Linked DNA regions of Xenopus tropicalis. The protein of the gene in region 4 interacts with the protein of the main gene of each other region in a pairwise test. Links are inferred from orthologs where the notes say so. Each region holds a gene or a part of one and is shown on either strand. Other genes may lie near its edges. The genes, in order: gapdh, hypk, ezr, htt, rnf20, cul5 and fez1.

Region 1 (4,077 bases), on a different chromosome or scaffold from region 4:
AGTTGTAGTTCTGTGCTACTGGTACTTTTCCAATGTAGTGTGTTTGTGAGTAATGGGGTTACTGTATTAGTGGCTAAGGATGGGATGGTGTAAGGGCTGCCTGTGCTTAGATTGGGGAGGCTTTAGGGTGGGATGAGTAATGGGGTTCTGGTAGATATAGGGAAGTGGGAACCTTGGGTAATCAGGAGTCTGTGTATTAATGATTTGGGTTGGACACTGGGTGAAATGGGGCACTTCCTGCCCTCTAGTGGGTGGGTATGGGCTATATGGGTGCCTTTGGGTGGGATTTAGCTGCAGGGGGACCAATTCAAGGTGCAGTGGTGTGGGGGTTAATATTAAAGGTAGGTTGTTGGGGGCACAGAGGGGTGGGTGGATGTGCCCAATAGATGGGATGGAGAGTGACTTGGGCACGGGGTACCCTCCTCTTGTTCCCCCCCCCCCCACTAATTTCCTTTCTTGCCTTTAGGGGTTGATAACTAAACCAAGTGACACCAAAATGACTGTCAAGATTGGAATCAATGGGTAAGTTAAGGGGTTAATAACTTCATTGGGGGTGGGTGCTGGGGCTTAAGGGGGTAATATGCAGGTGAGTGGGGGGAGATGCTGGGGTATAAGGGGGTAATGGACCCAGACAAACAGCTGGGGGGGGGTTAATGGCTTGGCAGATTAAAGGCCGATGGGATAGTGTTCTCTGCACGGTTTAGCGATTGGCCAGTGTAAGATGCCCCTTGGCTCTGGCAGTTGAGGGGTTATAAGTAATGAAGCTACAGACCTTTCATAAATGGTTAATGGTCCAGGCCGATTATTCTTTCAAAATGGCTGCTGCTCCTTAACCCCTCCCCTGCCAGAACCATGCGGAGTGTGAAGCTTCCTCACGTCCCACTGAGTCACTGCTCCCCACCTCACACCCCAACCCCTCCTCTCCATCCGCTGCGGCTCCCCATTGCTCCACCTTCTGCCAGGAGGGGGGTACAGTAATGCGCATGGGGGTGTCCCCAGTGTCTGGCTGCTGATGTCTCTCAAGGACAACCCCAAGGTCACAGTGTATCCTGGGCCAGGGTCACCCTTGCACTGTCAGTGTCCTATTGATGAGCTGTACCTGGGGGGCTGATGCACGGCACCTTGGGTGAATCCCCTCCCCTCGCTGCTGCAGAATAAGGAGTAATTGCACAAGTGTGGGGAAGCTGAGTCACGTCCTGCTCCCTGGTGGCAGCCGCACGTAGGCACAGTCCCCTGGCTGTTTTATTCTGGTTAGTGACCATAATCCTCACAGCACAGAGTCTGACTGGGCTCTCGTGAACCTTCTAGAGACTTCTCTCATTAAAGTGGGACACTAAGATGCCCCCCCCTGGCATGGCTAAGTAGGGCTCCTATTAATAGAGGTGTTGATGCCAGCTGCTGTAACCCACGCCAGGGACATTATCATTCTGCCCTGCACGTCTCTGCCAGGACTCGGATCCAGTACTGCCCCACAATGGAGGCTGCTCCCGTCACTCTGGCCACTCATCTCTCAGCCTTACTACACACCCTCCTGTTTGTCCTCATTACGCGTCGCTGAACTTCACTGTTGAACTTCACCCCGAGCAAAGTTCAGCCCTGAATGTGCAGCCAGTCACTCGTATTGTGCCTCGAAGCATGCAGGGCAGTGTCAGGAGTCGCAACAGGCAGGCTGTGTGATTATTGCCTGTAATAACAGGGCAGTGGCAGGCAGACTGATTATTGCTTGTAATAACAGCCATTATTCAGGTTGTGCTGCGTGAGCAGTGCTTGGATAAACTGCCCCCCCCCCCCCAGGCTGGCTCAACTGAGTCTGGGTCAGTGGAGATTTCTGTGTCAGCAGGTGTTGTGCTAATGGCGGCACAGACCTTTTTTTTAAAGGGCAAGTAAACCAAAGTACATTAAGTTTGCATATTTCTTAGTGACAGATTGCCTAAATCATGTGCCCCCCCCTTGTGCCATTTAGAATAGTGGGATCCATTTGATCTAGGTCTCTGTATTCTCTATGTAACTGGCCCCTGTTTATTGCTATTCACTATAATGACAGCTATGTAGGGTGCCCTTCCCACCCTAACTGCTTAAAAAGAGGGGGTAGCAGTGCACCCCATTACTTCTATGCTGATCAACCAATTGCACCAGGCAACACTGCCCAGCAAGAGTCGGCAATTGCCAGTGCACTGTGGACAAACATTGGTTGGCTTGGGGGTTCCCCAAGCCAACCAATGAGGGGAACCAGCATGCCTTGATTCTATGGAGGGTTATGGGAATTGTAGTTTAACATATAGGGATCAAAGGACTAAGCTGTTGCATTGTGGTTTCAGTGCATTGGCTAAACTTCCCCTTTAACATCTAGCTGTGACGTCGCATCACTTATGATGCAAGGCTTTATCTTCTTACTGCTTGCCAGTGGCACAAGGGGTTAAGCGCATAAACATCTAACGATAGAAATCATTTTTTCTTTTTAAGATTTGGCCGCATCGGGCGCCTGGTGACCCGCGCTGCTGTTTTAAGCGGCAAATGTGAAGTCGTTGCAATCAATGACCCCTTCATTGACTTGGACTACATGGTAGGTGGCTCCGTTCATCTGCATTTTTGTGTTCTGGAGTATAAAATGCTCGGGAATTAACCCCTCCCACTCTCCGCAGGCTTACATGTTCAAATATGACTCCACCCACGGCCGATTCAAGGGAACAGTGTGTGTTGAGAATGGCAAGCTGGTTATCAATGGCAAGGCAGTCACCGTCTTCCAAGAGTAAGTGAGGTTGTGGCTCAGTCCTGGCCTGGTTCTAGACTGGGTTCCTGCAGCAGAATCTAATCACAGGGGGGATGTTTACAGTTCTCTCCTCTCCCCAGGCGTGACCCCTCCAACATTAAGTGGGGCGATGCTGGTGCAGTGTATGTGGTGGAATCTACTGGAGTCTTCACAACCAAAGAGAAGGCCGGTGTAAGTAGTTACACCCCCCCCCCCCATAACATTTGGCTTTCTATATCTAGAATTCACCCTGGACTTTTTTTTTTTTAATTTTTACCTGCAGTTGCACTTGAAGGGAGGTGCCAAGCGTGTCATTATCTCTGCCCCCTCAGCTGATGCCCCCATGTTTGTTGTTGGGGTGAACCATGACAAATATGATAACTCTCTTCACGTTGTCAGGTAAGTGTGGGGTAAAAATGGGCGTTCCTTTAAAGGGGGAGCGAACTACCACAATGCTACAGGCTGTCTGCAAGCTTCTGTATTACTGGGTTAACTCTTTAGTTCTCAATAGCTCATGGTTTGCAGCTTCTGTAATCTAATAAGGGCTTGTTTACTATAACAACCATGTAAAACTCTAAGCCTGAAGGCTGTAAATCCTTAAACCTTTTTTTATCAGGATATTTGTCTATACAAATACTGATCAGGCAGGGGCTCCCTCTACTGCCCATAATAAAATTGCAGCCTGTTCTAGGTTTGCTGCTTGGCCAAACCATTCTGTACTTGATGGAACCTCTCAGTAATTGGCTAGTGCTTAGGCCTCTGTAGGCAGGCATTGATGTAGGCTGCCCATTCTCTGCCACTTTCTTTAGCTCAGGAATGTTAATGCTGTAAGTCTCACAGGCAATTACTGTTCTACATAAGCTGGCTAGCTTCAACTGGCAAAGTGGCTCTGCCTTCCCAGCCCTGGGCCTGCCTTTACAGGGCCTTGCCCCAAATACAAGCAGTAATGTGTCCTCCCTATATGGGCTGGCCTCTTTACTCTGATGGAATAAGGGAGTGATGCTTAGTTTACCTTTTCCCCTGCTTTGCCCGCAGCAACGCATCCTGCACAACCAACTGCCTGGCTCCTCTTGCAAAGGTCATCAATGACAACTTTGGCATCCTGGAGGGACTGATGGTAAGTGCAGTGGGGCTTATTCAGCTTGGGACATAGAGCCTAAAGCAAACTGTCTCCCCCCTCACCCTGTATGAGTGACCTTAATGGAAATTATACCCCCCCCAAACAATGTAGGTCTCTCTAAAAATAGTGTGAACAAGCTTGTACATAAAAACCCTGCTTTGTGCAAGTTTTCATAACTTAACTTACTTTTTTGTAGTATGTGCTACTG
Region 2 (4,043 bases), on a different chromosome or scaffold from region 4:
CACATTTCTGTCCTACTACTTTAGTTAGGCTGTAGTTCTCCTTTAATGCTTTCCTGCTTGTCTCACTAGATCTCTCAATAAAAGGGTAAGTGACCTTGGTTCTACTGTACATGACAGCAAAAGTATAGGTCACCTGGACCCATATAGTATAAATAATGGGCTGTCAATTGCTTCCATGGGCACCATCTCTATGTGTAAAGTGCATGCTTTCAAAATACAGTGTGCCACTAATTTACTCAAGTGCTTATTATGGGAGAAATCTGTGTGCCTCCATGTGGTCTGATACTCTTGGGGACAATACACTTAGGTCTTCTATGTTTATGTCTGGGATAAAAATAAGTAAAACACTACAGTTACTGTTAAAAAACACCACAATTAATGATAATTATGGCAATGAATTCGATCACATACATACTATTTCAGAGATGTGTACACGGCATGGCCAGTTAAAGCAGCACTCAGAATCGTATTTAGAAAGATGGTGTTTATTCTAAATAAATTAGTACACTTACTGTTGGCTTCAGTATTTGGAAATGGAGCCCTGAATAATGCATTATTTTTAATATGTCCAAATAATCATGCTAAGAAGGAAAACAGCACTGTTTAATGTCCTAATAAAGTCCACAACTCTTAATGAAAGTATAAAATCTTTTCAGTTCTAAGTAAATTTTCTTCAACAAGATAAAAATCCGTGCAGCATCCAGAAGATCAGTTGGTCAAAGCAATCAGCGCCTCTACTACATTCCCCATGTGTTCCCGCAAGCTTCTTTCTGCTGCTGTTCGAGGGATTTCCATTTCATTCATCTGAAAATGAAAATATTCTCATTTTATAACTAAGTCATAACTATAATGCTCTGTTTAAGAACAAATCATTTTTCAGTAGAGGCCTCCAATGCAAGACTAGTGTTACCATATCTGCATACAGCAGCCACCAATACTCTCCAGTTTATCCAGCACTCTCTTCTACTGGTTCTTCCACCCCCACCTTAATGCCAGCTAATAGTAAATACACAATTGATCTAATCTCGATTCCAATTACAGCCTGGCGAGAGAGAAAAGTTGGCCTGAGGATATGGCCAAACTACACATGATCCACTGGCCAGTTTTGCTAGGTAATATTCTTGCACGTTACAATTTCAATCCTGATACTTCTGACTATACCACAGTCACTGGCTCCTGCCCAGATCACTATCCATACTTACAATAAGCTCCACGTCTTCTTTCTTGATTGTTACTTTGGCCAGCTCCTTTTCTCTGAAAAAATAGAAGCTTGATTAGCTATTGTATTTATAAAAATTATTGCGATTTCAACGGAACCGAGTAGGCAGCTTCTGAGCAGATAGATCAAAAAAATTGTGTTTGAACCATCACTAAAAGAACATTGAGAAGTCTTCATATTTGGTAAAAACCATAACACTCCCAATAAACCTCAAAAGTAGTAGCGACACTCTATTCAACAGACTGCTGCATAATTTTTGGATAATCAGTGTACTAGTGACACAGGCTAAAAGGCCACCAGTGGACAACTATCCTTGCCAGAATCTACAGTACAGCAGAGGTTGCTTACTACAAAGCCACAGGAGTCATTAGCTTTCATTATATTACTCCTAACAAGATCTATTATGGCATGGGTACCAAGTATGTGGCACAATTTAAAGCCTCTCCAATGTGTTTCAGTCACACTGAGCCTTTGACACTACTACATGATCCCGCAGCTTACTGACAGCAACCAGATGCTAAACAGTCCATATCTGTTGAACCCATTAGTAATGACACTGCCCAGTAATACTCTACTTTATAAAACTCCATTCTACATTTTAAATGAGACCTGATTACAATGCAATGGAAAGGGCCAGTATAAAATGTTGTATATGGTATTGCAATTACCTCTCCTGTTTTGCTTTCTGTTCTCTTGATCTTCTGTCTCCAATCACTGACATGGCCTGCACAAAAGACAGGTGAGATTAGAATACCAGTCTTGGAACACAGAGTTCTTTCTTCATAAGCAGTCATTCAAAATGTATGAACAATGTTTCAATACAGTTAAAGGGAAAGCAGTGTTGAATTCTCACTCACTTTGTTGCCCCTGGTAACTTTATTTAAGTTCGGCCTTAAGTCTAGCACACCAGTAACCTCTTGTTCCAAATGGACGGGTTTGTTCTAACCTTCCTTCCCCAGAAGTAAAGTAGAATTTAGGAAGCTAATTGCAGCTCTGCTGTAATGCCCACTTACAAGATGGCAGCTGGCTGGCATGATACAGTGCAGCCAGGGCAGGTAACCAGTGAGAGTCAAATGCCAGGCTGGTGTTAGGAGTATATGGGAAACCAATGCAAAGGTTATCTAGTAAGAGCATGTTCCTTCTATATGTGGATGAGTAAATTGCAAGGAAATCATTATTCCTCCTGGCACAGTATTTCCCCTTTAATAATGCCTCTACTCATGTAATGATTGCCCCGCACACCAGCTAAAAGCTGTATCTGCCTGATCTGCCAAGCAAGTATCTTCCACTGTCTTTCTACAATAACCTAACAGTGACAGTAAACATAAGTATTGCTTTATTGCAGCCATCCAGAGCAAACGATCATCAGTCCATGCCCTTTCCAATAACCCAGGCTATTATTTCTCTCTCACCGTCTCCAAGTTGGAGCTCTGAATCTCTTTCTCCTCGGCATAGTCTGTCACTCTCTCCAGATCAGCGGCCCCACTGTCATGTTTGCGCGGTTTGTCGGCAGGACGCTCGCTGCAGTTCTCTTCAGTCTCCAATTCTAACTCAACATCCCCTTCTGCCGCCATCTTTCCCACCTGTACCGGAACACAAGGCAGTAAAACTCGCTTCAATCGCCGCTTCCGGTTTCTTGGCCTATTGCATTCGTCACTTCCGCGATCTCTATCGTTCTTTGGGCAGGGGGCGGGACAACTATGCGTTCCATTAAACCGGAAAAGAAAGTTCTTGCATAAACTTTGCCTTCTCCTGTGCTGAAACGTTAGATTGATTGCTACCGTAGAAACAACGGGGCATCAATGGTGTTTTAAATATTTAGATATTTGTCTAAAGATTTTAAAAGACAAATAATATTTGTAGTTTAGTAGTTTTACTCTGGCATGAGGATTAACAGAATCATTTGTCCAAGAGAATGCTTGTTGGCAATTGGGCACATTTGCGGCAGTCAAAGCTGACAGTTTAATTGATTTCATGCAACTGACTAATGCCGACCTATCAAAACTCCTATGTTTATCAGAAGATATCTGGTCCCACTCCCCATAGTAATAGGGGCCGATTTACTAATCCACGAACGGATCGAAAGTGCCCGAATGCGTTTTTTTCGTAATGATTGGTATTTTGCGATTTTTTCTTCGCTGTCGCGACTTTTTCGTAGCTGCTATGACTTGCGCGAATTGTGACTTTTTCGTAGCCGTCGCGAAAAAATCGGAAAGGTTTGCCCGCCGCTTACTAGCGCTCAATACGAAAAAGTTGCGACAATTCGCGCAAGTCGTAACAGCTACGAAAAAATTGCGACAATTCACGAAAAAGTCACAAAAGGGATGAAAAAAATCGCAAAAAATACAAAAAAGTCACAAAATGTTTGTTTCCAATCCGATTATTCAACTGAAAAGAACCTAAATCCTCCTAAAATGAGCTCAGAGACAGGGAAGGGCAGAGCTGGGGGCTAAACAAGGTGTTGCCCAAACACACCCAAAAGTAAAGACTCGAAAGTTGACGTCTCTGCAGAGGAAAGCTGTTTGTTGGATTATACAGCACCAGGTCAAATAAAATGACTGAATATGAGACAAACTTAAGTATCTTGTAGAATTGCCTATTGTTCATAAACGTGCCCGCTTCGTATTAAAACAATCTCTTTTAAACATGTTTAAAAAAAAAACTGAGTAACTTCTCAGTGATGAGGCTCCATGGAAACTTCTGTGCACTCCTTACTTTGTTGTGTCCACTCACAAAAGCACAGCTAAGAGGGAATATGTAATTCCGTTTTCCATGTTTTGCCAAAATATTGGGCAACTGCACACAACCATAGTTTTTGTGTGTG
Region 3 (3,500 bases), on a different chromosome or scaffold from region 4:
CTTAAATTTTATTGAAAAGAAAACTAAACATAACAGACAGATTACCGCAGCAAGTAGATATACAGTCAAGATTGCATTGCCTTGTTATGGCAGTGCCATCAAGATATCGGAGGTGTTGGAAGTTGATGTCCAAGGGCATGTTTCATGGCATGGTTCCAGACAGGTTCCAGACAGGTGGTCTTTTGTTGATGGGGAGGCAGGTCTTTCACTTTGTATTTCTATCCTGAATAAAACAAAAAAAAAATTATAATTCTACAATTGAAAAATGTCACCTTTTAAATGGTTATAGAGCTGTCAGTTTTACTGTGATGAATGTAGAATTATATATACACTAAGGATATATATTAAGGATAACACTTAAAAGACAGTGAGAATATATTCATCTAATAAAAACTCATCAAAGTATGATGCAGGAATTATAAATGTTTAACTGCTACTTTCTTTGCTACTATATTTTCTTCATTTTCAGTTACCAAGGGAGTCTCATACATTTATTGGTTTGATATCACCGTTAAAAAGACAATATTTTGATCTGTGTTTGCAGAACTATCAGAGCAGATCCAAAGAGCCAAGGAATTGGAGGAAGAGAGAAGACGGGCACAGTATGAGGCAGAGAGATTAGAAGCAGAACGTATTTCTGCTCTCCGTGCCAAGGAAGAACTGGAGAGACAAGCAATTGCCCAGACAAAAAGCCAAGAACAACTGGTATGATACTTTTTTCTGGGACAGAGCATTAGTTCTTTCTTACTTCCATGTTTTTTTTGGAAACTCTTAATGAATATGCCAAATCTACATACACTTAATAAATGAGTGAGAAGCTTGACTTTTTGGCTTCTGAATGGAGTTGGGTCCCCAGATGCTGGACTACAGTTCCCAGAATTCTCCAGTTGTAGGCCAGAAACATCTGGGGACCAAGGTATAGGAAGCAGGGGTTGGAAAGGGGAACCATAGAACCCTGTCAGGCATTATTTTAACCTGCCACTCTCTACTTTGCATTATATTTAAATATATACATAAGGCATGTTTAAGTTTCTCTGCCAAGTTATTTGTATTCATTAAAAATATTTTTTTTATTTTTTGGTACACTTTTTGTATGTACAGTATATCCCTAACCATGACTATATTATATGTACATAATGCACTTTTCATATATATCTATACTCTAATTAGGCTTCTGAACTATCAGAATATACTGCTAGAATCTCACTGCTGGAGGAGGCCAGGAGAGTCAAAGAAGATGAAGCAAGCGAGTGGCAAATGAGGGTAAGTTTTTTACACTTTCTATGAAACTAAACATGTTTCTTTCTTTGTAAGCTTGTGAGAACCACAACATACGCTTTCTTCAAATTAAGGGAGTTTATTTAAAACACAGAAGTGACCATTTCAGCACATTTGTTGAGCTCTCTAAATAAATTGAACCCCTTGCGGACTACCAGTAAGAAAACACATATATTTGGGGTCACTTCTGTACTCACTATACTCCTTTGGGAGGATTGCTCAGCCTCTTGTTTTTCATCAATTTCACAGTGACTCAGACTCTCAGTCCCTTCATCAAAGGCTCCTTGTGCTCCTTGACGTGGCAGCACCCACAGCCCCTCTGGGAGGTCCCAACACAGGCTCTGTGCCCTGTTCAGAGAGACCTTTCTAACATTCTCACTACAATTAAATACCTTTCCACAGGAGCCTTCCTGTTGAAAGTGAGCTCCAGTTTATGAGCTGGACTACTGGAATGGATTATCTGGCCTGCCTGATTCTTTCCAGAACACTATAGCTTCCAGGACCAGGCAGCAAAATCCTTTAAACAATGAAAATGTTCTCTGTTTAGCAACATCTCCCTTGAAGCTTACATCTCCCACTATCGACAACTTAAAGGTAAAACTCACCATTTGACACATTAATTAATTATGCTCTCTCAAAACTTTATTAAAAAAACCCCAATCATCATTTTCACAACAAAGCATTCTGTCACAGAGATCACTGATATCTTCTGGAACCTATTCTTGCCACTTCCTGCATGAAGCTAAACTGGCCATACTCAGGCAGATTTAAAATGCTGCTTTGTCCTCATCAGACAGAGCAGTTTATATTCCTCCTGGCACAATGCATTAACCCTATTTACTGACCATCTTAGGGGCTGAGCCGAGTGCTGGGAGGCATGCTCTCATGTGCCTGTGTAGTGGGATTAGATAGAGAATTGCATCTGTGTGAGGGAATGTGGATAAAAAAAACTGTAAGGAACTAATCCAAAAGGGCACTGCTCAGGTACAAGCATGAACTTTTTCTATTTGTATGACCCTGATGAAGGTTTATGCTGTAAGGGCCAAAATGCGTTGGGTTTAATCTATATGGTTTTTTAAATGGTAAAATTGCTGCAGGAAAGCAGCATGCATACACAGGAACATTCTCAGTCCTTAAAGAGGAAGCATGCATAAGTGCAGTTAGATAGTAGGTCTACTGCCTATAGTTATAGTGTTAGTGGCATTCAGTGTAGGTAAGTCACACACCTCAGTCTCCAGTGGTGGCACCCTGTGTGAGTAACTGGCACACTTCAGTCTCTAGTGGCAGCATTCTGTGTAGGTGACTGAAACACCACAGTCTCCAGGGCATTTGCAAATAAATCTTCTGTTGTGAAAATAAAATAACCCAAAATCTCCTTTCACTCAAGTGCAGTACAAACCTCTGCTGCCCAGCACCCAGGTATTTATTAATTTATATGCAAATCAGTGAGATTGCTGTTGTCCACCTTAGCACTATGTTGTTGAGCTACTTAAAAAGTAGTGCTGAAAGTGTGAAAAATTGCCCTACTGCTTTATGGACCTCTTGTGCATTACACAACCAAACCAATATGGGTTAGTTGAGCTGGCAAGGGAGAGCAGCTTGGGTATACTCTGAGTGAGACAATGTGGGGGAGAGACAGCCTTCCACTCCCAATATTCAACAAAAAGTACAATTCATTTTTTTTTTTTGTCTAATGCTGTCATGTTCTTTGTCTAATGCTGCCATGTGTATTTTCAAAGTTGACCTGGTATTTGGAGGTGTGGTCACACAGTAGGCATGTTTAAAATTGGATATATGGCAGATCATTGTGTGTCTTTTTCAATTTTGTTTTTTTTGTTGGGAGTAATGAAAAATGATACAGTTCACTGTAGGTGTCAAAACTCATTGAACTGCATGAGTTGTTTGTAGAATTATGACAGAACATAAATAAATATACATACAGAACACAGTATACTAGCAACACCAGTTTCTTTGCAACATTGCTAAATATTCATTAGTTTCTACACAATCTTTTTTGTTCCTCTGCTCCACGCAAGGATTTTCAATCAGGCACAAAAGCAGAGCACAGCTTTTCCTGCAAAACAACTGTTTTTTAAAGTAGCACCAAATGGTGTGCTCTAGCACTTGCGCCCTGGAGTTGCATAAATGACCCCTTATATGATTATTATTATTATTATTAACATTTATTTATAAAGTGCCAACATATTCCGCAGCGCTGTATA
Region 4 (3,500 bases):
AGAACTCCTTCCCCCCCCTTAGGAATGTGCATCTGAGCCAATCAGCAGGAAGCTGACTCATAGTCTTACTAACTGAGCATGTTCACTTGGTCTGCATGTCTGTGCAGGAGTGAGGCATTATGGGAACTTTCTTTACACAGCTCAGCATTTTTTCTTCCTGTCTGGCTTCAGATCATCTGAACAAGTGAAATATGGGGAGACTCAAGGGCACTATTGAGACAACTGAAGTTATTCCTGCAGCTTGACTGTTTACTAGCCTTTCCTTCTCCTTTAAGCTGTACAAAGTCAGTGCCCATAACTTTTTGAGATGTATTACATCCACTGGTAAAAGCATATTTGAAGTGATAGCCTACCCCCATTGTAATGTTATTCTTACATTGTGAGTTATCTCTTGCAGTGTGCAATGGTATTTTATGAAACAGTGAAAAAAACAAGAAGAATGTATGCTATGCCTGGAATGTTAGAATTTTCCTTTTAAGCTGCATAATACATAATAAACATGGGGGGTATCAATGGTGTCTGAACACATCTGTATATTCCTGTTTTAGAACAGATGACGCATGGGCTAATTTACAATTTTTTTGTTGTTTTATATAAGAGGTACCCTCAATTGGATATTATGGATTGCCAGTATGTAATGACGTTTCATTGTGCATCCAAATAGTCTTTATTACTTTGTATTCTTCTTTAAAAAGGTTTAAATCAAACTCATCTTTTAAAAACCATGGGCCATAGCCGACAGTCCTCTGACAGTAGCGTGGAGCGCTTTGTACCCAAGGAGGAACCTGTGGATCCTGGCGATCTGGAAAACAAAGTGAGTAACATGGATCAAGTTGTCATGTATATATATATATATATATGTACTACTGCTTAACAATAAGCTATTTATTCCAAAAGCTCTGTTACACCAAGTTATTCCCCCATTCAGTTTTACAATTTTATGTTTGAAGAACAAAATAAATCTTTGATTTAAAAGGGCAGTATAATCCTTTTCCAACATTAGTTCAATAAATATGGCTTGTGCTTTTTTTTTTTAAAAAAAAAATTTCTATCACAAAAATTGAATGTTAGTTCACACTCTATTTGCTGGTTTGCCCAAACAGAATCCAAACAAATCCGTAGTCCACAGAGAAACCATCTGTATAAACAAACCCCTCTTGTTCATGGGCCTTTGTTATGCTTTTATAAAGAGCAGCTCATTATACAGAGGACCTCTTGAGTTGTTTTGATTGTGCTTCGACAAACCAGGTCGGCAAATTATGGTTAAATCTGGCAGCAGTTTCTACCACTACATGCAAAGTATGCAAACTGTAATTCTCATGCACTGATTGCTAAAGAGGATCACTCCAGTTCACTGCCTAAGGTGGCACCGGACAAAGATACAACCCTGAGTAAGCTGCCCCTTTTAAGTTGTCTCCAAGCTGAATGGTGCTAGAATAAATTGTTTGCTTCAATGTTTTTTCAGCCTTCAAGAATAAAGGGAGATATTGGGCACTATATGGATAAAGATGCTGCTCCTTTAATTCACTGCGTACGACTCCTGTCAGCTTCCTTTCTGCTCACTGGACAGAAAAGTGGTAAGAATTGAAATGGATTGATCTTACAACTCCTTCCTTCCAGAGCCTGAGAGAGCCTTTGATTTCCACATAGATACTTAACCCCTGTGCTACTGGAGCTGGTAGAGGAATGAGGAGTTTTTGTTTTGTTTTTAATTTGGGTGCTTATTGAGAACATAATAGAGAGGAAGGTACAAAGCATACATAGCTCATGATTAATGATATACAACAACCTGTGCATGCAAATCATGACCATCCAGTGTTGTATTGATTACGCAGTGGATCTTATACTCGAGTAAGTGCAGAGAAATGTGTTATGGGGTATCACTAGGGTGCAGCTTCAGCCATGGGTCCCACCTTTCTAGATGCCAAGTATCTTGCGTTGGAAGCTCCTATTCAGGTAGGGTAGACAAAACTGTTTTTCCAATAAAGCTGTGGTCTAAAATATAGTTAGATCTAAGGCTTGGGGGAACTCTGGGAGAAATTCCCAGCAGGGTTTATTTGGTGTAGTTTGGAAGTTCCACACCAAGAATAGCTGTCTAGTATGGTTTGGTAATTGGACAGAACCAGAGCATGTTTACTAGATTACCATTCTCAACTTTGTATCTGGGGTACAGTGGCGATGTTCTTATACATTGTATTTAAATACTTATCTCAGGTTGGTTAGGCTTTATGGAGGATATTTATGAGTGAAATGCATCTATACCTATAATTAGGTGAGACCCTTAAAGAGGATGTTCACCTTTGAGTTAACTAGTATGAAGTAGAGAGGGATATTCTAAAAGTATGTGCATCTGGTCTTCATTTTTTATTATTTGTTGTTTTGTAATTATTTCACTTTTTGTTCAGCAGCTCTCCAGTTTAGAATTTCAGCAGTTATCTGGTTGCTAGGGTCTAGATTACCTTAGCGACCAGGCATTGGCTTTAATGAGAGACTCATATATGAATAGGAGTGGGCCTAAATAGAAGGAAAAGTAATAAAATGTAACAATAACAATAAAACTGTAGCCTCACAGAGCAATTGTTGTTTGGATGCCGGGGTCAGTGACCCCCATTTGAAAGATGCAAAGAGAAGAAGGCAAATAATTTAAAAACTATAAAATATAAATAATGAAGACCAATTGAAAAGTTGCTAGGAATAGGCCATTCTATAACATATTAAAAGTTAACTTAACTTAAAGGTGAACCACCCCTTTAAGGGCCCAACAGCGCTTTACACAATTTAGCATCATCAGAACCCCTGAGATCCGCTTCAGTATGCGGAATGTTGTGAGGTGTGTAGCTTTGTATATATCCTGGATAGAAATGGGTTTTTAAACACTGTTTTTTCCAGTAGGAGAAGTTTGTGATAGATTTATGACCTCTTAAAAACTGTATGCATTTGCCTGAATATCCCCAATCTCCTTGTTCCTGCAGTGCTTGTTCCAGACAGAGACGTACGGGTCAGTGTAAAAGCCTTGGCTGTCAGTTGTGTTGGGGCAGCTGTTGCTTTGTTACCAGAATCTTTCTTCAGCAAACTGTACAAACTGCCCACTGAAACTACTGAATCTCAAGGTAAGTTTTTCCTGCTAAAACACCCTCATATCATTAGGTGCAGGGTTTATGCATGGTTTGTAATGGTCTCTAATTGTCATATAAACTTGTGTATTTAGAGTTCACTTTTCTCCATTTTGCTGACTGGCTGAATGTATTTCTTCTTCTCTCTCTCCCTTTGTAGAAATACAGTATGTTTCAGATATTCTTAATTATATTAACCACGGAGATCCTCAGGTTAGAGGAGCTACAGCAATCCTTTCCGGGACCATTGTCTTTTCTGTGCTTAGTAAAGCACACTTTGAAGCAGAAACCTGGATTTCAAAGGTTAAAGCCAATACAGGTAGTATTTGTGCTATTAGTTTTATGCTTTATATTAGATTGTGATGTGTAGTTATTTTCATAATAGAG
Region 5 (3,929 bases), on a different chromosome or scaffold from region 4:
ATGTGTAATGTTTGTGTAAGTGCGTGTATATGGGTGTAAATGTGTAAAAAGGATTGCAGAACCTACACAGCAGGAAAGGAGTGGGTGGGCACTGGAAGTCAGGTCCTTTGACAATCAGGTAAGAAATGGGTGTCCCCTTGGCTCATTGCTGTGCAGTAAGGAAGCTCTTTAATGCAAAGCAAGTAGGCACTAAGTGTTTGGCACTTACAACATTTTTCTGCCAGTATGTGTACCCACAATGAAACACATACCTTGGAGGCACACAGACTAACCCAACCTATCTCCCCATTCCTGACAAACAGAAGGTGCCCTCATTTCCCTAACCTGACCCCCAAAGACACAAACAAACCTAGGAGTGGCACATGCTACCTCACTTTCCCACAGTCAGGTATAAAACTAGGAACACAAACAATGCAAGGCATACACATACCTAATATACATAAATAATGCCTTACTTACACACCTCCAAACCACCCCCCCATCCATAACTAGAGACCTCACTTGCTGCCACAACCCATAAGTCTAATTTCCCTACACACTGCTCTTGAGCCAAATAACCCCAAAGACATAAACCTACCACAGCTCATGTAATCTCACCACACACTGTACCTCCCCCACTAACCCAAAAAAAGCCATCCCCCAAAATTATCTAACACACCAAAAATATCAGCACACTCCAAAACTCTTCCCAGGGCTCGAAATTGTGCAGCACGTCTCACCAACCCAAACGAAAAAAAAAAATCAACAACCACCCTTCAAAAAATGCACACACCCCAAAATTCATCAGCACCCTTACCCCCAAAAAATACAAGCACTCCAAATATAAGAAGGCTCCACTAACCCCCTAACACACCTTACAGAGACCAGCAAGTGCGTAAAAGATCCACAGCCTCCACTGAACAAGCAAGTGTCCCAGTATTCAGGCAAGAACAGAACTCCTGCATTTAATCCTGTCCCAAGAAAAAAATAATGCTACCCAGCGCAACCCAATACTCACAGAATAGCGCACTGTGACACTACCTTTAATGAGCCATTCTATCCATAGCATCCCCGAGTAACCACTGTGGAACGCACTCACCTATAATTTACTTACACAGGCATTTAAAGAAGGCGCCGAATGTTACGTGTTGGAGACGTCGCCACGTCTTCACGTGATTGAACGTCACTCACGGCAGTCGGGAACTAGCAGCTACCGAGCGGATCAGGGATTGCGGGCTGTATTAAAAAATTGGCCTGTTCTGCGGGAATACGTTTGGTATGTATTTCCATATAGCAGGGGTCACCTTTAGTTTAAACTAATAAGATTAATCCTTTAGGCATGCTTGCAAGCAAAAAAGGGATATTGCAGAGCAAAACTGGTTTTGTATTATTTTCTTTTCTAAAAAGGAGAAACCGTCATACTGCAGAGTGAGAGGGAATGACTCTTTGCTTTGAAACAATAAACTTCCAAATAAGTTGTGCAGAATATACCTTTATATCAGCAGCAATGTGCATGTATCTTGCTTGCTGTTAACACATAACGTTTAGTTTTTATGTGGTTTGATGTGATCAGGTTTGATAACGTTTGACCTGCTGCAAGAATACATTAATTCCTAGAAAATGGGACATGCACATTTTGTCATTGCAATGTTTTTAAAATTGAAGGGGTTTTAAAGTTATTTGTACATGTAATATCTTTAAAAAGCTGTCTCTGTCTGGTTGCCTATATTCTTTGCTTTTGTGAAACAAGCTGATGCAAGCCAGCAGATTAAAAGAAAGATCAGACCCTTTGACATTTTTTTAAAAGTCAGACCCAGAGGATAGAAAATGATAAATAAATATGTTTTTTAATTTCCATTTTCCATTCCATTTTCACATAATTTTTAAAACCATTGAAAATGTTTAATAATGTTTATTTTTTTTTGTGCAGAATTCCTTTAATGGCTTTATTGTAACACTAGGTTACTAACCCTTACATAAAGATTTCATGTGGTAATACTCTTATTTTCATAGCATTTTCCTTTTTTAGGTAGGCTATTCATAAGCTTAGTCCTAGTGTGTATATTGGTCTGGTGAGTGTACACTCAAGTATCTGATATGTCTTTTTATTTCATTCATTTGCATGTGAATTTCTTTCTCTGTTTACACTTTGCCCTCTTTAGGTGTCTGAAATAGATGTTGAAAAGCTTACAGGGATGTCAGGGCCTGGAAGTAAACGTACTGTGGGGGATGTAGGTTCTTTAGGACCCCCTGAAAAAAAGGCAGCAGTGGAAGATTCTGGAACCACTGTCGAGACGATTAAACTAGGAAGTGTGTCTTCAACAGTAAGTGCACTTATCAATTTTGTTTACTGCGGATCTGTTTAGGACTTTTTTTGGTATGTCTATAGCTTATGTAGCATTTTGAATACAGCTGGCATTTGCCATCTGGTACTACACCTTTAAATCCTTCCAGCCTGAGGCATAACCTTCAGAAATCTAATTTAGTTTGCCTAAAGGGAACATTTGTAACACTGTGTGTTATTTTGTGTTAAAAACTATTTATAAAGCACTAAGAGGACTGATCAATACAATTCTGTGCTCCTACAGTAGTTAAATATTGGCTGTCCTATGTTAATGAGGGGAAGGATCCAGCCTCCACAGTATTGCTACCAACTATATAAAAAACTTTCTGTATGCAGAACACATGTTAAGCATGCATCTTAACCAATAATATAGGGATAGTGTCTCAGCCATTTTTATCCCTAAACATCCAAATAATTACTTACTATGCAGCTTTATGGCACACTGTGGCGTTTTGTTGCCACAATAAATCTTATGTTTTTTTCACTGGCATTTGTTTTTTTGCTGGTGGGAAGGAACCAAGGGACTTTTTTGTCTGTGGTAGCCAAGATTTATCAAAACGTCCCGTATGTCTTTGCCCCAGCTATGTTGTTTCGCTTCCATATTTAGGAAATACATTTTAAATTCCAAAAAAAAACCCATCAACATTTACCAGATATCCCTTGATGCCCAAGCCTGGGAAGGCAATGACAACTCTCAATTAAGACACTGTATCAGAGCAATAAAGTCTAACTTGTTCACCCTGGTTTTCTATAAAAGAGTAACCTATGCCTCTGTTCTTATCTAGTTCTCATGTATCTGCACAAGGGCTGTGCCAGTTATCTGATGCTGCCATTCAGGGCTGAATTGTCAGAAGCAATAGAAATTCTACCTCCACCTGCCGATTCAGCCTTAAACGTAGATTTTGCTGATGAAAATCTTCTAACATTACATTAACATTTATTTATAAAGCGCCAACATATTCCGCAGCGCTGTACAATAAGTGGGTTACATACATTGGACATACAGAGTAACATATAAAGCAATCAATAACCGATACAAGAGGTGAAGACCTGCCCGATCGACGAGATGACTGATATCTGCAGCCTTTGCGATATTGGTCGTCTTGTCTCGCCACCATAAATGCACCCAATATCGTATGAAACAAGGTTTTGTATGATAATATCGTTGCATGTATGGCTAGCTTTAGTCTTTTTAGCTGTTTACACTTCCACTCAGTTTGTTCATTGCATTAAACTGTAAGTCTGTGATCTGAGGATTTTCGTACAGCTTACGTTGTTCGCACTTGTTGGATGTAGCTGCAACATGCTACAATTGCTAGGCAGTCCACTCAGCTGAACATACTACATGAGACCTTGTTTGGCCCTGTGGTAAGACACTGTTTGAGCAGACTGTCCGTTTACTTCAGGGTCACCTGTAGTATAAAGTGTGTAATATATATATATATATATATATATATATATGAGATATATAGATCTAGAGAGAGAGAGAAATTGCAATAGCATATTATATATCACACCAAATAATACACTGTGCACCTAGTTTGGTTGACAGACAAGTCAGTATTTTGGTCAATGCTTTGACCATTATCAAGATATATATATATTT
Region 6 (3,500 bases), on a different chromosome or scaffold from region 4:
AGAACAGCCCTATTGGGTTTATTTAATGGTTAAATGATTCCCTTTCTCTGTAATAATAAAACAGTACCTGTACTTGATCCCAACTAAGATATAATTACCCCTTATTGGGGGCAGAACAGCCCTATTGGGTTTATTTAATGGTTAAATGATTCCCTTTTCTCTGTAATAATAAAACAGTACCTGTACTTGATCCCAACTAAGATATAATTACCCCTTATTGGGGGCAGAAGAGTCCTATTGGGTTTATTTAATGGTTAAATGATTCCTCTTTCTCTGTAATAATAAAACAGTACCTGTACTTGATCCCAACTAAGATATAATTACCCCTTATTGGGGGCAGAACAGCCCTATTGGGTTTATTTAATGGTTAAATGATTCCCTTTTCTCTGTAATAATAAAACAGTACCTGTACTTGATCCCAACTAAGATATAATTACCCCTTATTGGGGGCAGAAGAGTCCTATTGGGTTTATTTAATGGTTAAATGATTCCCTTTTCTCTGTAATAATAAAACAGTACCTGTACTTGATCCCAACTAAGATATAATTACCCCTTTTTGGGGGCAGAACAGTCCTATTGGGTTTATTCAATATTTGAATGATTTTTAGTAGACTTAAGTTATGGAGATCCAAATTACAGAAAAATCCCTTATCCAGAAAACCCCAGGTCCCGAGCTTTCTGGATAACAGGTCCCATACCTGTAATTGGATGCCAGTATGGAAGAGTTTAATGTCGTATTGGTTGGGCATTTGGTTTCCCTTCCTTCATGTATGGCAGGGATCCCAGGCAACTTGTAGCCATTCCTGAGATTAGTCGCCCACAGTAGCCGAAGTTTAACCTCAGGCAACTGATCTCTGTGTGCCATTGCCCTTAAGGCCCTCAAAACACTGTGCTTGCTGTGCCCTTGCAGTTGTGTTCCTGCACTTCTCCCCGCAGTGAGTTGCATATTGAACCCCATTTTGCAAAGGTATGGGGACGTCATGCTGAGCACTGAAAATAATGCTAGGTACAATTCTGCACAGTAGCATCATATGCAATGCCCCTTGCGACTGCAATGGTCTTGGCATTCTGGTAAAAAAAACACTGAGAAAAAAACATGGCACTTGCTCACTGCACTTGTGGGCGTAAATGGATCCCCATTATTTATAAATGTACAGTAAGTGTTAAACATTTGGTATCCTTACTGCTATTTAATAGGTTGGTGCACAGTAGATATTGTTCCCATTTAGCACCCTCAGCTAGACATATGGGAGAGCTAATTATGACAGCCCTTCGTTAAGGCTTCTAGCTCTGTGTAACTGAAAGGGAACGGGCCCATAGCTGGACTGGTCACGGCGCTGGCCTATTTATAGCCTGCTGCATAGCAGCCCTGTGTAGCTATTTCTGGGAAATGCCTGTTGCAGTCTGTGCAAAACCTAAAATATAACCCTGCCCAAAAATTTCTATCACTGTAGCTGCGCACAGATGTATATTGGCTTGATTCATTCGATTATCACATAAACATTTATGGCAGGGAGAAAACATTTCCAAAACAATTTTTAAAAGTAATTGGACTTAAACAATTTCTGTACCTTACATTTTAGCCATTCATGGAAACTGGCGAAATGACATGTACTGTTTTATTATTACAGAGAAAAGGGAATCATTTAACTATTAAATAATCCCAATAGGGCTGTTCTGCCCCCAATAAGGGGTAATTATATCTTAGTTGGGATCAAGTACAGGTACTGTTTTATTATTACAGAGAAAAGGGAATCATTTAACCATTAAATAAACCCAATAGGACTGGTCTGCCCCAATAAGGGGTAATTATATCTTAGTTGGGATCAAGTACAGGTACTGTTTTATTATTACAGAGAAAAGGGAATCATTTAACCATTAAATAAACCCAATAGGACTGGTCTGCCCCAATAAGGGGTAATTATATCTTAGTTGGGATCAAGTACAGGTACTGTTTTATTATTACAGAGAAAAGGGAATCATTTAACCATTAAATAAACCCAATAGGGCTGTTCTGCCCCCAATAAGGGGTAATTATATCTTAGTTGGGATCAAGTACAGGTACTGTTTTATTATTACAGAGAAAAGGGAATCATTTAACCATTAAATAAACCCAATAGGGCTGTTCTGCCCCAATAAGGGGTAATTATATCTTAGTTGGGATCAAGTACAGGTACTGTTTTATTATTACAGAGAAAAGGGAATCATTTAACCATTAAATAAACCCAATAGAGCTGTTCTGCCCCCAATAAGGGGTAATTATATCCTAGTTGGGATCAAGTACAGGTACTGTTTTATCACAGAGAAAAAGGAAATAATTTTTAAAAATCAAAATTATTTGCAAAAAATGGAGTCTATGGAAGGAAGCCTTTCTGGATACAGGGTTTCAGATAATGGATCCCATACCTGCAATGTCTATAGGAACATGTCATTATAAATTTGCTCTTGCTGACTTTTATAATTGTACTTGATATTTTATTGCTGTTTCTGTACAGAGATGTGTATGTGCACATGTATGATCACATACAAGTAATTAAGCAGGCCTTGTTCAATCAGCTAAAGGTGTCGATATGAAAGAATAACATTGGCTTGAAGTTAAATGAAAGTTTTATTTTACAGATGTAGGACCAAGGAACTATAGCTAAATGGCATTTGCTTTCTCTTACAGAATAAAGGTTCCCTTCAATTTGAGGACAAATGGGACTTTATGAGACCTATAGTTCTGAAACTTTTACGCCAGGAATCCGTCACAAAACAGCAATGGTTCGATTTGTTCTCGTAAGTATTAAGAGAAAAACTGTGCTAGTTAAAGTGATGGAGGAGAAACAATTTCCTGTAATGCCTAAAAGATAATCAAGGTGTGTATTAAAGGGCATTTGAAGGTAAATTTACCCTTTATATTACTCCTCCATGGAATCCTGCTTCCCACTCATGTACAGTGGCACAGTATGTTGCTGACTGATGACAAATATGCTTTAAACATTATTAAGCATCCACTGCACTTAATGGATTTATTATATTAATAACCATTCCTCTTTTAAACCATACTGACCTCAGATAATGGAGTTTGTAAATAAGGCAAGAAATGGCCTCACCAGGACCCCATAGCATGGGAATGGCATTTACAGGGTGAACACATATTTGGCCATGGTCTAGTAACCTGTAACAACCAACCAGATGTTTGTTTTTAGCTTACAAGTCAAATTGGCTATTATTATTATTATTAATAAAAAATAGACTTCTAAAAAAGTATTTAGGTCATTGGCAATTTTAATGCTTGAGTTACAGGAAAAAGGTTCCTGCATTAATTTGCTTCACATGCACGCAGGATCCCACAAGACAAAGCAGGATCAATCCTATGTATACAAACACTGTTCTGAGCAGTGTACACACAAGGCTATACTGCCCTAAATGTGTAGTAGCAAAGGTGGTTCTTAGTATTGTCTATGGCAGGGTATTTTCTGGCATTTTGTAGTTGCAACTAAGATTCTCGTTATATG
Region 7 (3,500 bases), on a different chromosome or scaffold from region 4:
TTAATTAAACCCAATAGGATTGTTTTGCATCCAATAAGGATTAATTATATCTTAGTTGGAATCAATTACAAGGTTCTGTTTTATTTCTACATAGAAAAAGGAAATCAGTTTTAAAATTCTGAATTATTTGATTAAAATGGAGTCTATGGGAGACGGGCATTCCGTAATTCGGAGCTTTCTGGATAATGGGTTTCCGGATAAGGGGTCCGATACCTGTATAGTAATTTGGCTTTTATTATGTAGACGTTACAGGTTTAACTTTCACAGGAAAGTTCTTTATAAACTAGCATAATAGGGAGTAACCTAGTAAGTTTACCTAAAAAATGGAATCTGGAAATAATGTTCTCATACATTTATACAGGCCTGGATTTCTTAACGCATCGCCCCAAGGCTGCCCCAATAGCTCCCCCCCCCCGGCGCGCATGCAAGTCCATTTAACTCACGTATGGAGTAGTGCAGAGAGGACGCGCTGAAGTTTTCTGGGCATTCGGTCCCCATTGCTCCATATGTGAGCAAATTTTCATTCATTTCACAAGGAAAGCAGGACAACTGACCTGCAGAACATATGGAAGTCTGTTAAATTAGAAATTCATACAATTCTAATCTGCAAGAAACACAGATATTTTAGAATCTGTGCTATTCAACTAGCTGTGCATGTTACCACTGAGACACGGGGGCCATGTTGTAACACTATCATATCAAAATTGAGTTGGGGACAACTTGGATTTAGCACTTACACAGACCCACCCAGAAAAAGGCACAGAAAACGTCCTTCTCTTTCATATCCAGGAAATTAATTTTAACCAGAAGCCATGCTAATACCTCCAAAATGCAGCCTTGGGTAACAAAATGTTTTCAGCAACATGGGTAGATTATGGAGTACTTCAGAAAACAGACTTTATTTATTTTTGTATGATTTTCCTAACAAATTATAAAAATAAAATATATTATGAAACTGATAAGAATATCACCATGTCCATTAAGTTGGAGGTGATTGCAAGAATCTTTAAAAAATATTATATAAATGGATTTTCAATTAAAGCTCTACCTTTTTTTTAAAGCATTGCACCGTACTATCATATCTTATACATAATAATATTTTTATTGCTTTCCATAGCGTTTTAGCATAGAAGGACTCTCCAATATTCTCCAGTCAGGGATCAGACAGACCTTTGGAAACTCTGGAAATGATAAGCAGGTGAGCTGTATATTTCAGTACTACATACTATGGGGCAGATTTATCATAACACGAGTTTGAATCCTGAATGGGAAAAATTCGGATTGGAAACGAAAATTTCTGAAGATTGCAAATATCGCGTAAATGCTTACGAAAAAATCGTAATAGTCACGATAATATTGTATTGGTGCTCCGAAAGTCACAAAATTTTTTATCGAGAAATTGTAAACAGCGGCAAAACCGATGTGATTTTTTCGATTGGAACGAACGAAGCTCGGAGCGTTCGTGGATAAGTAAATGTGCCCCTATGTGTCGCAAGCAAACACTGATGATTCTTAGGGAGGGCTCCCCTGAGGACCCAGTATACAGTAAGCTTCTGCAACTCAATTCTCAACTCTGATTGTACTGAACTGATTTAGAGAGGACAGGTATTATTTCACTTGCCTGTGACCTTGGTAGTGTATTTTGATATCTGTTCAAAACACACCAATGTATACAAGGGGTATCCTTTATGAGGGTGGCACAGTAAAGATTTCAAAGTAATTATTGCTACCTTGGTAAGAAAAAATCCTCCTTCTAGGAAGGACACTGTATCAGCTTCACTCACATTAATATAAAATATTCTTTTGTATTTTTGGACAAAAAAATACCGAAAATATTTGTTCACATGTCATAATATCCAGTGCTTGGCACCAAAATGATGACTGTGCCCAGTTCTTTAAGCACAAGTTAATATTATCAGTTGATGCAAGACACTGTGGGAGCCCTTATAAGAGTGGCGGTAGCACTATTGTATATGCAGTGCCCCTGCAGTGTTTTGGCATCATTTTTTTATATATAGTTTTGTTTCCTTTAGTATCTAAACACAGTGATACCATATGAGAAGAGAGGGACCCCTCCATCAGTTGAGGACCTGCAGATGCTGACTAATAGTAAGGCTGTCTCCATTAGAACATGTATAAGAACTGTTGTGTCATTTTGTAAACTTTTTTATAATCATATAAACAATATTTTAAAAAATGTTTGTATTACATTACATATATTATCATATATAGTCTGCACTTAAAATCTCTTACTATAACTAAACTGCTATGTAAACCTAATGCATTGCCTTCACACACATAACAGTGATTAGTATTAGTCTTTGCAACAAAAGCTCCATTCCCTGTATTCCTGATTGTTTTGTACAAAAAGGGTGGGATTGTGGTCACTATTTGTCTGTGCCATCCATGTATATATAGATATACAAAGTTGCTTTTGCTCTGAATCTACTGATTGAAACTATAATTGTTATTTGCTATTTGTAAATGTAATTGGGATTTAATGCAGTATCTGTCTTGTTTTTCTTTGCCCTACTGGCTCCTGGCACAATGAAGCACAAGGGTAGCAGGAAATAAATATTGCTTTGAATTAAAATGATTAATACAAATAAATTTAAAACCACTGACATTTCTTAAAGGCGTAGTTCACCTCTAAATTAACTTTTAATATGATGCAGACATTGATATTCTAAGACACTTTGCAGTCGGTCTTCTTTTTTATTTTTATGATTTTTCAGTTATTTAGCTTTTTGTTCAGCAGCTCTCTAGTTGGTATTGTATTTACCTTAGCAACCAGGCAGTGGTTTAAACAAGAGATGGGAATATGAATAGTTGAGCACCTGCATAGAAAGATAAATATTAAAAAGTAACAAAAATAATAAACATTGTATCCTTTCAGAGCAATAGTTTTTGGCTGATGGGGTCAGTGGCCATTTGAAAGCTGGAAAAAAGCAGAAGAGAAATAATTCAAAAACTTTAAAAAATAAATAATTAAAAACAATAGCAAAGTTGCTAGGAACAGGCCATTCTCAGTTAAACCATCCCCTTAATGAATGTATATTTGAAAGTTGCTAAGAATTACATTTCCATGCTGATAACAAGACAGTTCTATTTATTCTTTATTTTTAAATGTAGTAAACTTCATATACGGCACAAAATTTATACTGAAAACGTTAGGTCCAAGTATTCCAGATAATATATCCCATTGTTGTGTAAATTAAAATGTAACAAATACTTGAAATGCATGTATATTTTTATAATATTTTATAAATATCGGGCTAATTGTATGCACAGAGCTGTACATTACATTTAGCGAACATTTAGAAAAGGCTTTTGTTAGGACAAAAATATTGGCATACCAATAGTGCAATACTATTAGACCTTTGACTTTGCATCCATCATTCTGAATGATTTATGATTCTGCCCTTATGGTTCATTGCTCATGAGTTGCTAATATTTGTTGATAGGGAGACCAAAATCCACCATCCACAACTCTCAGTGCC

What was found.
Region 1: the proteins of htt (region 4) and gapdh interact in binary tests that used the Homo sapiens proteins (3 or more experiments, as listed by UniProt). The link is inferred for Xenopus tropicalis from reciprocal best matches to the Homo sapiens genes HTT and GAPDH.
Region 2: the proteins of htt (region 4) and hypk interact in binary tests that used the Homo sapiens proteins (3 or more experiments, as listed by UniProt). The link is inferred for Xenopus tropicalis from reciprocal best matches to the Homo sapiens genes HTT and HYPK.
Region 3: the proteins of htt (region 4) and ezr interact in binary tests that used the Homo sapiens proteins (3 or more experiments, as listed by UniProt). The link is inferred for Xenopus tropicalis from reciprocal best matches to the Homo sapiens genes HTT and EZR.
Region 5: the proteins of htt (region 4) and rnf20 interact in binary tests that used the Homo sapiens proteins (3 or more experiments, as listed by UniProt). The link is inferred for Xenopus tropicalis from reciprocal best matches to the Homo sapiens genes HTT and RNF20.
Region 6: the proteins of htt (region 4) and cul5 interact in binary tests that used the Homo sapiens proteins (3 or more experiments, as listed by UniProt). The link is inferred for Xenopus tropicalis from reciprocal best matches to the Homo sapiens genes HTT and CUL5.
Region 7: the proteins of htt (region 4) and fez1 interact in binary tests that used the Homo sapiens proteins (3 or more experiments, as listed by UniProt). The link is inferred for Xenopus tropicalis from reciprocal best matches to the Homo sapiens genes HTT and FEZ1.

Annotation. Positions count from the first base shown.
Region 1 is NC_030683.2:10,006,238-10,010,314, forward strand, and holds the start of gapdh (glyceraldehyde-3-phosphate dehydrogenase), read left to right. Parts: upstream 1-1,277; 5' UTR 1,278-1,325; intron 1,326-2,463; coding exon of another isoform or gene 2,464-2,560; coding exon 2,561-2,563; intron 2,564-2,642; coding exon 2,643-2,749; intron 2,750-2,850; coding exon 2,851-2,941; intron 2,942-3,032; coding exon 3,033-3,148; intron 3,149-3,784; coding exon 3,785-3,866; intron 3,867-4,077. UniProt on the Homo sapiens protein: Has both glyceraldehyde-3-phosphate dehydrogenase and nitrosylase activities, thereby playing a role in glycolysis and nuclear functions, respectively.
Region 2 is NC_030679.2:107,675,004-107,679,046, reverse strand, and holds hypk (huntingtin-interacting protein K), read right to left. Parts: upstream 2,801-4,043; 5' UTR 2,794-2,800; coding exon 2,632-2,793; intron 1,944-2,631; coding exon 1,888-1,943; intron 1,255-1,887; coding exon 1,203-1,254; intron 805-1,202; coding exon 709-804; 3' UTR 470-708; downstream 1-469. UniProt on the Homo sapiens protein: Component of several N-terminal acetyltransferase complexes. Inhibits the N-terminal acetylation activity of the N-terminal acetyltransferase NAA10-NAA15 complex (also called the NatA complex).
Region 3 is NC_030681.2:64,210,901-64,214,400, reverse strand, and holds part of ezr (ezrin), read left to right. Parts: intron 1-544; coding exon 545-705; intron 706-1,170; coding exon 1,171-1,263; intron 1,264-3,500. UniProt on the Homo sapiens protein: Probably involved in connections of major cytoskeletal structures to the plasma membrane. In epithelial cells, required for the formation of microvilli and membrane ruffles on the apical pole. Along with PLEKHG6, required for normal macropinocytosis.
Region 4 is NC_030677.2:22,766,896-22,770,395, forward strand, and holds part of htt (huntingtin), read left to right. Parts: intron 1-695; coding exon 696-814; intron 815-1,465; coding exon 1,466-1,577; intron 1,578-2,972; coding exon 2,973-3,110; intron 3,111-3,273; coding exon 3,274-3,432; intron 3,433-3,500.
Region 5 is NC_030683.2:57,227,008-57,230,936, forward strand, and holds the start of rnf20 (E3 ubiquitin-protein ligase BRE1A), read left to right. Parts: upstream 1-1,129; 5' UTR 1,130-1,255; intron 1,256-1,318; exon of another isoform or gene 1,319-1,414; intron 1,415-2,141; 5' UTR 2,142-2,174; coding exon 2,175-2,303; intron 2,304-3,929. UniProt on the Homo sapiens protein: Component of the RNF20/40 E3 ubiquitin-protein ligase complex that mediates monoubiquitination of 'Lys-120' of histone H2B (H2BK120ub1).
Region 6 is NC_030678.2:159,962,315-159,965,814, reverse strand, and holds part of cul5 (cullin-5), read left to right. Parts: intron 1-2,668; coding exon 2,669-2,778; intron 2,779-3,500. UniProt on the Homo sapiens protein: Core component of multiple cullin-5-RING E3 ubiquitin-protein ligase complexes (ECS complexes, also named CRL5 complexes), which mediate the ubiquitination and subsequent proteasomal degradation of target proteins.
Region 7 is NC_030683.2:74,207,105-74,210,604, forward strand, and holds part of fez1 (fasciculation and elongation protein zeta-1), read left to right. Parts: intron 1-1,117; coding exon 1,118-1,198; intron 1,199-2,033; coding exon 2,034-2,109; intron 2,110-3,500. UniProt on the Homo sapiens protein: May be involved in axonal outgrowth as component of the network of molecules that regulate cellular morphology and axon guidance machinery.